2 linked regions of the Caenorhabditis elegans genome follow. The protein of the gene in region 1 purifies or fractionates together with the protein of each later gene. This does not show direct contact. Each region holds a gene or a part of one and is shown in the gene's direction. Other genes may lie near its edges.

What was found.
Region 2: the proteins of pdhk-2 (region 1) and Y54E10A.11 fractionate together in Caenorhabditis elegans (co-fractionation; one large-scale study listed by BioGRID). This does not show direct contact.

What each region holds. Positions count from the first base shown.
Region 1 is NC_003281.10:8,737,179-8,743,105, reverse strand, and holds pdhk-2 (putative [pyruvate dehydrogenase (acetyl-transferring)] kinase, mitochondrial), read left to right. Parts: upstream 1-1,693; coding exon 1,694-1,761; intron 1,762-1,988; coding exon 1,989-2,243; intron 2,244-2,351; coding exon 2,352-2,538; intron 2,539-2,588; coding exon 2,589-2,692; intron 2,693-3,532; coding exon 3,533-3,668; intron 3,669-3,933; coding exon 3,934-4,032; intron 4,033-4,425; coding exon 4,426-4,533; intron 4,534-4,814; coding exon 4,815-5,063; 3' UTR 5,064-5,420; downstream 5,421-5,927. Other genes in the region: nssp-33 (DUF19 domain-containing protein), read left to right, coding at 326-400, 450-569, 955-1,017. UniProt on the Caenorhabditis elegans protein: Inhibits the mitochondrial pyruvate dehydrogenase complex by phosphorylation of the E1 alpha subunit, thus contributing to the regulation of glucose metabolism. Required for normal lifespan.
Region 2 is NC_003279.8:3,189,852-3,194,688, reverse strand, and holds the start of Y54E10A.11 (E3 ubiquitin-protein ligase listerin), read left to right. Parts: upstream 1-1,831; 5' UTR 1,832-1,992; coding exon 1,993-2,028; intron 2,029-2,077; coding exon 2,078-2,164; intron 2,165-3,918; coding exon 3,919-4,480; intron 4,481-4,837. Other genes in the region: syp-5 (PH domain-containing protein), read left to right, coding at 851-924, 974-1,030. UniProt on the Caenorhabditis elegans protein: E3 ubiquitin-protein ligase. Component of the ribosome quality control complex (RQC), a ribosome-associated complex that mediates ubiquitination and extraction of incompletely synthesized nascent chains for proteasomal degradation.

The sequences.
Region 1 (5,927 bases):
CACTTTAGACACAACACTTTTAATCGTATATTATAAAAAATCACAAACTGGTTTAAAAAAAGTTGGTATAAACTAAGTACAGTATTCGGCAAAAGAAACTTTAGAATATTTCTAATTTGGAAAGAGTCTGGACAACTGTTTTAAAAAAATAACTGTCATAACTTGATCAATTGATTGGTTAAAAGAGTATCAGAAAGACAGTTGTCTAGAATTTTTCTACAATTTAAGTTTCTACTCTTTTGTGATTGACAACATTTTTGCATCTACAAATAATGTTGTGACACTCTTCGTCTTCTTCAACAAAGTTACAGTAATCAAATTTAAGGTCGAAGCCCAAAAAGAGTATATCAGCTGTAAGATAGCAGCCACTCAAGCAATTTCTGAAGCACAAGGAGCAAAAGTGAGTTCATTTTGTTTCATGTTTTGAGTAGATCAAGTATGAGATTCAGGGATCATCAACAGAAGCGTATTTGACTGAAATGTGTCGAGCGATGGATGGATATTTGAGATGTTCTCATCCAATTATTTTGGCAAAGTGTGGTTCCGATGCATGGACATTAGTTTCTACTGTATGTTTATCAAGGGCAAAATTGTTTTTTTAATTCTCAAAATTTGGCATTTCAAGATGTTTTTCTTTTTCTTAAAAAATTCTGATCTTTTTCGATCTAGTTAAGAAGAGTAATTTTTTCGAAAAACCAAGAAATTCCAAAAAGCGTTCCTACAACCATCATTAGTTTAAAAAAAAACATATTTTTGATCAGTTTGGCAGATTTCAAGTAATGATAAATGCACTGAATAAGTTTCAGATCTACTTTTTGCCAGATTAAAGTGCTCTAGGGCACGCCCCTAACGTTTTTGTTGGGTACTATTTGAAAATTGGTCATTTTCCAAATAAGATCAATAACTTTCCTTGTGCAAAAAATCCCGTATTATTGAAATATCAGCTAATTTCAGGTGACACGTGACAGTCTTGGTGTGACAATGCCCAATTGTGACATGCATTCTGCATTATTCTAATCTCTACAACGAGTAGTTCATTTTTTCTTCTCAACTTTCTGTATACTGGTTCTGGTTCACACACTTTTTCTGGCATTGCAATTTGTTTTTACTTACTTTAATTTATTTAAATCTTGTGAAATTTGAGGCGCAATAAATAAATATTCGTAATGTTAATTTGCAATATAATTCGTTGTTAACTCAAAAATACGGTACCCCGGTCTCGACACGACCCGAACCGACGCCTTTAACGAGTACAGTAGTAATCGACATTAAAAAAATTTAAAAAAAACTTTCGGTTACAAAAAAGCATTTATAATGGCAAAATAGTGAAGTAAGTCAGTGACATCAATAATTATTTTAAACTATTGTTTTTAACGCTGGCTTTTCTTCAAAAAGCTCAAATTCCCATATTTGTAATTTTAAACTACCGCCGTAAACTTGAATTGCGCAAGACACTGAATTGCGTCAGTGTCCGCCTTGGCGCATCCCTCGATTTTCATCGCATCGGCCGAACTCGAAGCGAGATGGGAGGAGGAGATTGCCGACGTGCAATTTATACTCTCTGTTTCACTTTTTTTCAATATTCCATAATTTTCTCAATGCGGCAGCGTAAACAACGTATTTCTCTTGATTGTCCCACTTTGTACTTTCTCGTTTTCATTTCAAAAATAGAAAAAAACAAATTAATTTTCAGATGCGCTTTTCGCGGAAGTTACTAGGCCCTTTCGTGGGTTCATTGGCCAAGAAACTCGATTATTATAGGTAATAATATTTGTTTCAGCTTTAAAAACCAGGAGATTATGAAAAGTATCGTTTTTAATATTGGAATCGATGGCCTTTGTTCTCTGCCCGGTCTGTTTGTTCCAGGGAAAACTAGTTTTTGTTTATTTTTAGCCGGCTAAGGCGTCGTTTTTTTTTTATTTTTCTGCACTGTTGAGTGAATTTTGATCTTGTTTCGATGAAAAATTCAATATAAAGTTATTTTTCAGTCAATTTCAACCTTCATCACTTACAATTCAACAATATTTGGATTTCGGTCGAATAGGAACATCAGCAAATTCATACACATTTTTGAAAAATGAGCTTCTCGTTCGTTTGGCGAATATTATGCAGGAATTCACACTTCTTCCACCAAAGCTTCTTCAAATGCCAAGTTCAAAAATGGTATCAAATTGGTATGCTGAGAGTTTCGAGGATCTTCTTTTGTTCGAGGCATCTGATTCATCTCCAGAGCAAGTTGCAAGGTAAGAGAAAAAATTGAATACCTAATTTACAAAAAAAAACTTGATTTTTTGGTTTTAAAAGTTTAGAAATACATTTTTAAAATATTAATGTTAATTTATGTTTTTCAGATTCAATGATCAGTTAACAGTCGTACTGAAAAGACACGCACATGTCGTCGAAACAATGGCTGAAGGATTGATTGAACTTCGAGAATCGGATGGAGTAGATATTGCAAGTGAAAAAGGAATTCAATATTTCTTGGATCGATTTTACATCAACAGAATTTCCATTCGTATGCTTCAAAATCAACATCTGGTAAGTTATTTTAAAAATTTTAATATTTTCAAATAAAACATTTTTTCCAGGTTGTATTCGGAAATGTTCTCCCAGAAAGTCCTCGTCATGTTGGATGTATTGATCCTGCCTGTGATGTGGAAAGTGTAGTGTACGATGCTTTTGAAAATGCTCGGTGAGTGCAAGTTGATGATAAAATTGCCTAGAAATTAAAGAAATAAGCCGATAAAAGTCCAAAGTTTCACCAGAAAATGTTCTAAAATTTTTTTTTTGAGATTGATGTTCAAGGCCCTCAGCAATACCTTCCATTTCTTCATTTTTTGCTTCTTTGCTAGAACTTCCGGCTCTTAATTCTTGCAGAAAATTGTGATAAATTAATTCTGAGTAAATTTTTCTCAAAAAATTTACGAAAAGTCAATAAATTTTAACAAAAATTTCCGTTGGACCGCTCTGGTCCTCATCAGGCCTTCTCAACTATACGAATGGCGTCTTTTGGGTTTTTGATAAGCTAGTTCTTCGCTGTCCGTCTGCGACGAAGATTGAATGTGCTGTGTCTCTGGGTGAGCACATAGTCGTCAGTTGTCATTTGAGCCTGAAAACATAGTTCATTCTCTCTACCACCACTGCCCATTCAACCTTTCTTCCGTGCAGGGAGTGTTCTTTGAGATGGAGAGGGATGACGTTTGATTTTTTAAAACGCGTGTGATTTCGGGCAAACCTGATCATTTCAAAGAACGAAAATATGAATTAGAGGGATAAGGAGGAAAATATGCAATTTTGATTTAGAAAATTTCCGTGGGAGTTTTATTCTGATCTTTTACAAAATTATCATAGAAAATTTGATTTGAGGGTTAAAAAAACACAAAAAAATTTTTAATGATTTTTTTCACTTTTGCAAAAATAAAGGAACGGCTGAAACTATTTCACCTGAAATTTAGCGACATGATTTTAATCGGAAAAACTTAAAAAAAAACAGAAAAAGCTAATATTTTCATATAATAATTTTTTGTTACAGATTTCTATGTGATCGATACTACTTGACAAGTCCATCAATGAAGCTTGAAATGCACAATGCCGTTGAAAAAGGAAAACCAATATCGATTGTCGCCGTACCAAGTCATCTCTATCACATGATGTTCGAACTGTTTAAGGTTAGCTATGAAGATACGAATTAAAAAAAAGACGACGCCTCTTCATCACTTCAATGTAACAAAGTGCCTTTTTGAACGCACACACTTCTTCCCCACGTGCTGTTGCAGTTTTGATACTAAAAAAACGATAGAAAAAGAGAGATAAGAGATGAAAATGATAAGAGAATTGGAAAAAGAGGAATTAAAAAAGGAAACGATTAAGTTGAAAGTAGAAAGAACAGAAAAATGTGTATGGAGGGGTTTTCAAATTCTCTTTTTTTTACAGAATGCAATGAGAGCGACAGTTGAATATCATGGAGTTGATGATGATCTTCCAGATATTAAAGTTTATGTAGTCAAAGGACAAGAGGATTTATCTATTAAGGTATTGAATTATTGATTGGTTTCGAAAATCAGTCGTATTTTATTTAAAATTACTGTACATTTTGGTGAGGTTCTGTGGATTTTTGCCCTAAATTACAGAAGACAGTCTCAATATACTGAGTATCATTTTTTTTAATTTAAAGAATTTTTTCTAAATTTTATGGAATTGTTTTACTTTTTAGAGATTGTAAAACATTTTTTAAACAATTTTTTAGAGTCTAAAAAATACTAAACTTTCTTTTAATTTTTTTGTCAAAAATTTTTTTTTTAAGTTACTGGAAAAATTCTAGCATATGTATATACAGTTATTGAAAAATTCGAATGTTTTATTTTAAAATAAAATTGGTTTTTTTTTGCAATTTTTGCCGCAGGTTTCAAATATTTTCTTTTACAGATTTGTGATCGTGGAGGAGGTGTATCCAGAACTATTCTCGAACGTCTCTACAACTACATGTACTCAACAGCTCCACCACCGCCACGTGATGGAACACAAGCTCCTTTGGTAAGTATTTTGAAAGTAAAAATAAACAAAAACAATGGACCAAAAATTTATATTTGTGAAAAACCAAAAAACAACAATAAAACCATTATAAATCACATTTTGTTTCAAAAAAAATTTCAAAGCCAATTTTTGATCAAGTTATAGAAGTTTTAAGAGTTTTTTTTTTGAAAAAAACCAGTATTTAAAAGTTTTCTAATTTTTCGAAAATAAGTTGAATTTTTAATAACTAGAGTCCAGATTCATACTGTATGGTTTATATTTTTAAAAATCGAGATTTTTAGGCTGGTTACGGATACGGACTGCCACTATCTCGACTATACGCTCGGTATTTCCTTGGTGACCTCTTTTTGGTTTCCATGGAAGGACATGGAACGGATGCATGTATCTACTTGAAAGCTGTACCAGTTGAGGCTAGTGAAGTACTCCCAATTTATAGTACTTCTTCGCGTCGAAATTTGACAATGGGACCACAAGTAGCTGATTGGTCGCATCATGTTCCTGGTCAAGGAAATCGTCCAGCTCAATCATGATCGTACTCGAGTTTTTTGTATTTATTGCTCTTTTTTTGTAAGTTGTGAATATATTCTAGCCATTCATTTTATTCGTCTTTTTACTTCTACTGTTCTCCGTTTCTGTCTATCCGGTGTCCATCAAATCCCGAGAATTCTGTTGTATATAAAACATTTCTAGCAAAATTATTTGTTTTCTTTCTGAAACTTCTTCTAGCTCTACTCTTTCTCGGACATTTTTTTTGTATATAATCGTTTGTAGGTGCGATGGGCTCTATTCTTCTTCTTTTTCTTCTCTCCCCGTATTTCACGAGTTCGTTGTGATTTGAAATCCCTCCCGAATTAGACTCACAACTTTGGAATAAATCATTCAAACTCATACATTTGAATTTGACAAGTTTGTGGAAAAAAGAAGAGAAGATTCTTCTTTCCATCTTTTTCTTCCATGACAAAACAATTTAATTTTCGCGCTGCGCACTCGGCGACGACTACTAGGATGAGAAGCTGACGATGTGCCATGGAAATCTTGGTGTTTTTGTGAGCGCCTTTTCACATTTGAATGCTTCCATGGAGTTCAATTGAGAACATAGATGTGCGGCACATTAAAAAATCTCCTTTTCTGGAAATTTATATAGAATTATCTGTACTTTTTGCTATCTTCAGAAAGTGCAAATATTTCTCTGTTTCTATACTTTTCTGTTTAGGCGCTTTCTTTGTTGTTTGAAATGTTTTTTTTTTAAATATTTTAAGCTACTATACGAGTTTTCAAATATTTTTTAAATAAAAATTATAACTTTTAAATTAATTGAAACTATTTCTTTGACGAAAAGTCCAGCTCTGAATTGATTCAAAAAACTTTAAAAAGCTACAAAAATGGCGCTGGCA
Region 2 (4,837 bases), on another chromosome or scaffold:
TATGGAAAAGTTCGAAAAATGGCCTTTTTTGAGGTATTCTACGTATTTCACTAAAAAAACTAAAAAACACTAAAAAAAATATTATTTTCATCTAAAAAAAATATTATTTTCAGATTAAACGAACACTTTTCCACATTTTTATGTAATTTTCAAGAAAATCTGAAAACCCAATTTTTTAAATCAAAAATTGGCATAAAACGGTAGAAAATATTTGTTCAATCTGAAAATAATATCGTTTTTTTTTTGCGGAAAAGCTCGAAAAATGCCCTTGGTCAGGTATTTTTTTTTTAAAAATCGAAAAATCTAGAAAAAAGTAGAAAAGCCTCTAGATTTATCAAAAATATGTTGATTTTGATGAGAAAAACGAAGAATTGGTCATCAAAATATTGATTTTCATTTGAAACATAATTTATCAGATTTTCAGGAATTTTTCCGAAAAAAAATTTAAAGTAATTTTCAATTTTTACGGAAAAATGTGTAAAAATGATGAAAACCCATTAAAATTGCTAGAAAATCGAAATTTGCTTGGGAATTCAAAAATAAATCGGCTTTTTTTTGTTGTGAAATTGGAAAAAAATCTTTCTAAAATTTATTTTAAATAATTGTGAAACTTTTGCAACAAATATTATCGTTTCGGTAATTTCTGGCTATTTTAATTGAAAAAAGTCAAATTATCGATTTTTAAGGCAATTTTAGGGTTTCTTTCACACAAAACGAAGCAAAAAACTTTTTTGAAAGAATGAGAAATGGCTGAAAATGCGATTTAAAAAAAAAAAAATCGGAAAACTAAAATTTTAAATATTTTTACGCTCATTTTTGGGTGGAAATTCTATAAAATACCGATTTTCAGATCTCGACAGCAGTATTATTGCTCCGAACAGAGCCAAATCAAAGGATGACAGGAAAAGTGATGATAGTGACGATGTTAGTTTTATATTAATTTTTTTAATCGAATAAAATGAAAAAATTTCAGGATCTGAACGACGAGGAGGGTGATGCGGATCAAAGTATCTGGGGAAGCGACGATTAGAAACGATTATTTTTTTTTATTGCAACCAGTAAATATAATTATTTTAAATGTGATTTATAATTTTGTGTCATTCGGTTTTGTTTTATACCCACACCTTTTTTAAAAAAATATCTGAAATTGTTTCTTATTCGATTTTATTTTCTTTGGTTTTTTAAAATTACTTTTTTTTGGTTCTATTTCGATCCAAATTCATTTATTTTATTTTTTTGGAAAATTGGAAAAAAAACTGAAAAGAGCCCATTTTTTGAATTGCTGCTTTCTTCCTAGTTTCGACGTTTTCCTGTTATTTTAATTGATTTTCCTCTTTTATTATATGTAATTTGAAACATAATTTATCACATTTTCAGGAATTTTTTCCGTAAAAAAGTTACAAAAAATAACGTTAAATTATCGAATTTTACAGAAAAATGTCTGTAAAAATGTGAGAAAAACCAATAAAAATATCTGAAAAATGCCGAAATTTGCGCGGGAATTCAAAAATAAATGGATTTTTCTGTGCAAAATTGAAAAAAAATTAATAAATATGACTATGGCAATTTTTTCATTAAAAAAAAATTCCAATTTGAAACATGATTTGTCACATTTTCAGGCATTTTTCCGCAAAAAAGTTGAGAAATTATCGATTTTTAAGCCAATTTTAGAATTTCTTTCACACAAAATGTTAAAAAAAAAAAAAACAAAATTTCGAATTATAAAACAAAAAAACGCAAAAAACCAATAAAAAATAGCTGGAAAATGTCAAATTTGTTGAAAAATTGAAAAAATAATTTCAAAAAATTTAGATAAATTCTACAATTTTAGGAAAACCCATTTTCCTGCAATTTACCATCTAAAAAGCTCACAGAGACACACTACACTCCACCTTTAAAAGCAAACGCGCTCCACCGAACAACTCCCAATTTTTTCCATTTTTATTAGGAAATACTGGATAATATTGTGCGTCTCTCTCGAACGGCTAAAAAATGAGTAAGCAGCAACGGCGAAAAGGAAATGCAAAGGTTAGTTTTTCATTCCTTGGCTAAAATGAAGATGAAACGAGTTGTTCAGAATGCGAGCAGTGCGGCGGCTCACGAGTATTTGGCTCAAGGAGGAGCCACGTTTGTCGGGTTGACGCCTGAGATGAATATTTTCGAGGTGAGAGGCTATTTGGATTTTTTTAAGTGAAAAAATAAAAAATTCCCAATATTTTTCCTTTATTAAACCTTTATTTCCGCTGAAAAATTAGGGAAAATGCTCAAAAACTACTTTTTTTTTGCCATTTTTGAGCAGTTTTTCAAACTTTTCGGCAGAAATATATGTTATTTTCAGAAAAATGAAGTAATTTTTAATGAAAAATTATTTTTAAAAAAAGCTTTAAAAAAAGTCCATTTTGATTTTTTTAATTAAAAAAGTAATGAAATTCCCAATATTTTTCCTTTGTTTTTAACCTTTATTTCCGCTGAAAAGTTTGGGAAAATACTCAAAAATTAGATTTTTTGCCATTTTTTAGCACTTTTTCAAACTTTTCGCCGGAAATAAAGCAAATTTTCATATTTTGACACTAATTTTAAATGAAAAATGTTAGAAAAACCGATCAAAAGAGCAGTGCCGCACAGAAAAAGAGGCGGAGCGTAATTTTGCAATCCTGCGGCACGGTTTCCACTTTTAAATTAAAATTTCGATTTCACTTGTTTTATTGGCACCTGAGATGAATATTTTCGAGGTGAGAGGCTATTTTGATTTGGAAAATCAAAAAAATTTAAAAAAATTCCCAAGATTTTTCATAAAATAACATTTATTTCCGCTGAAAAGTTTTGAAAAATGCTCAAAAAATTTTTTTTGCCATTTTTGAGCACTTTTCGGCGGAAATAAGTGTTATTTTCTGAAAAATCAAGTGATTTTTGATAAAAAATGTTAGAAAAAACTATCAAAAAAGCAGGCGCCGCACAGAAATAGAGGCGGAGCGTAATTTTGCAACCCTGCGGCACGTTTTCCACTTTTAAATTAAAATTTCGATTTTTACCTGTTTTCTTTTCTTTTCTTTTTTCTAATAAAAATATTATCCAATTTAATCCTCATATTACGTATACATCTGCAAAAGTCGCCATATCTTACGCGCAAGATATCCCGCAGGGAAGAGACAAAATTACTGTATTTGTGTCGATTTACGGGCCGGGTTGGCATCATTTTTTGAATTTAATTTTTTTTTAAATTTCGAGTAGCAATTTTTCATCTTCAAGCGTTTTTATGTTAAAAATTCAATTATTTAATTGAAAAATCCATAAAGATGAGAAAAAAAACGAAAAATATCTGAAATTTGAAAATTGCTGCTCGAAATTTAAAAAAGCAGTAATTTTCAACTTTCAGATACTTTTCGTTTTTTTCCTCATTTTTATGGATTTTTCAAATAAATAATTGAATTTTTAACATAAAACGCTTGAAAATGAAAAATCGCTGATCGAAATTGAAAAAAATTAAGTTCGAAAAATGCAGCCAGAGCGGTCCGTAAATCGACACGAATACAGTAACTTCGTTTCTTCCCCGCGGGATATCTTGCGCGTAAGATATGACGATTTTTTGTAGATGGATAAGTAATATCAGAATTAAATAGGATAATATTTTTATTCGAAAAAAGAGAATAAAACAGGTAGAAATCGAAATTTTTATTTAAAAGTTGAAAAACCGTGCCGCAGAGTTGCAAAATCACGCCCCGCCTCTTTTTCTGTGCGGGGCTGATTTTTTTCTAACATTTTTCATTAAAAATTAGTGCCAAAATATGAAAATTTGCTTTTTTTTTCCGCCGAAACGTGCTCAAAAATGGCAAAAAAAATGCTTTTTTCCGAACGTGTCAGCGGAAATAAATGTTATTTTCAGAAAAAAAAATTGAATTGCATTATAATTTTTTCCAGGTGGCCAGCAGCAATCGACTCCATCAAGTAGTGGAAATCGACGACGAAACTCGGATTGTCATGAAAAAATTGACGAAAAAAGACTGTCAGACGAGAGAAAAGGGGCTCAAAGAGCTTATGGAACTGATAAACACGGAAAATAGTTCGATCGAGAGCTCCTATGAGCATTTCTGTGGACTCGTCGCCCAGTTGACCACAGATGGAAGCCCAACTGTGAGAATGCTCACGATGAAAGTGATTTCTCAGTTTTTGACAAAGTTAAAGAAATCTGCGAGTAAAGGATTGAAGAAAATCATTCCTTTCGTTCTTTTTGCAAAGTCTGATGTTACGAATGGAGTCGCTGCGGCTGCTTCTGCAGTTATTCGAGATGGATTTGATGCGGATAAGAAGCGACAAGTTGTGGAGCTCTTTGTGCCGAATACCTTTGATTTGGCAGCGAAAATTGCGGAGGGAAAGCATGAACTCTCGCTGCCAGCGGAATATGATGCTTCGGAGGATCTGGAAACGCGGAAAATGAGACTGGAGACGCAATCTTTGAATACATTCCTATCTTATATTAAAGGTGGAGTAGAGTCAGAAAATATATGTTTTGAAGGTGGAGCACCGAAATTTGAGACTTTGCTTTTTAGACCCAAAATTGGTCCAAAACTACCGAATTTCGTAATGAGACGTTCTGAAAATTTCTCAAAAAAAGTTACGGCGGTTCAAAGTTCTGCAAAATAAGGCCCATTTTCAGCTAAAATCAAATTTTTGCCAACTTCTCTGTGTCTCAGCGTCTGGAACTTAATTTTTATTTATTCATCACTTTTTAATAAATATTACGGTTTTTTATTAGCCGTTTATTCGTTGATTTTTAGTACATTTATTGTCAGTGGAGCACAAAATGTAACTTTAAAAAAAAATGCAACTTTGCGCCCCA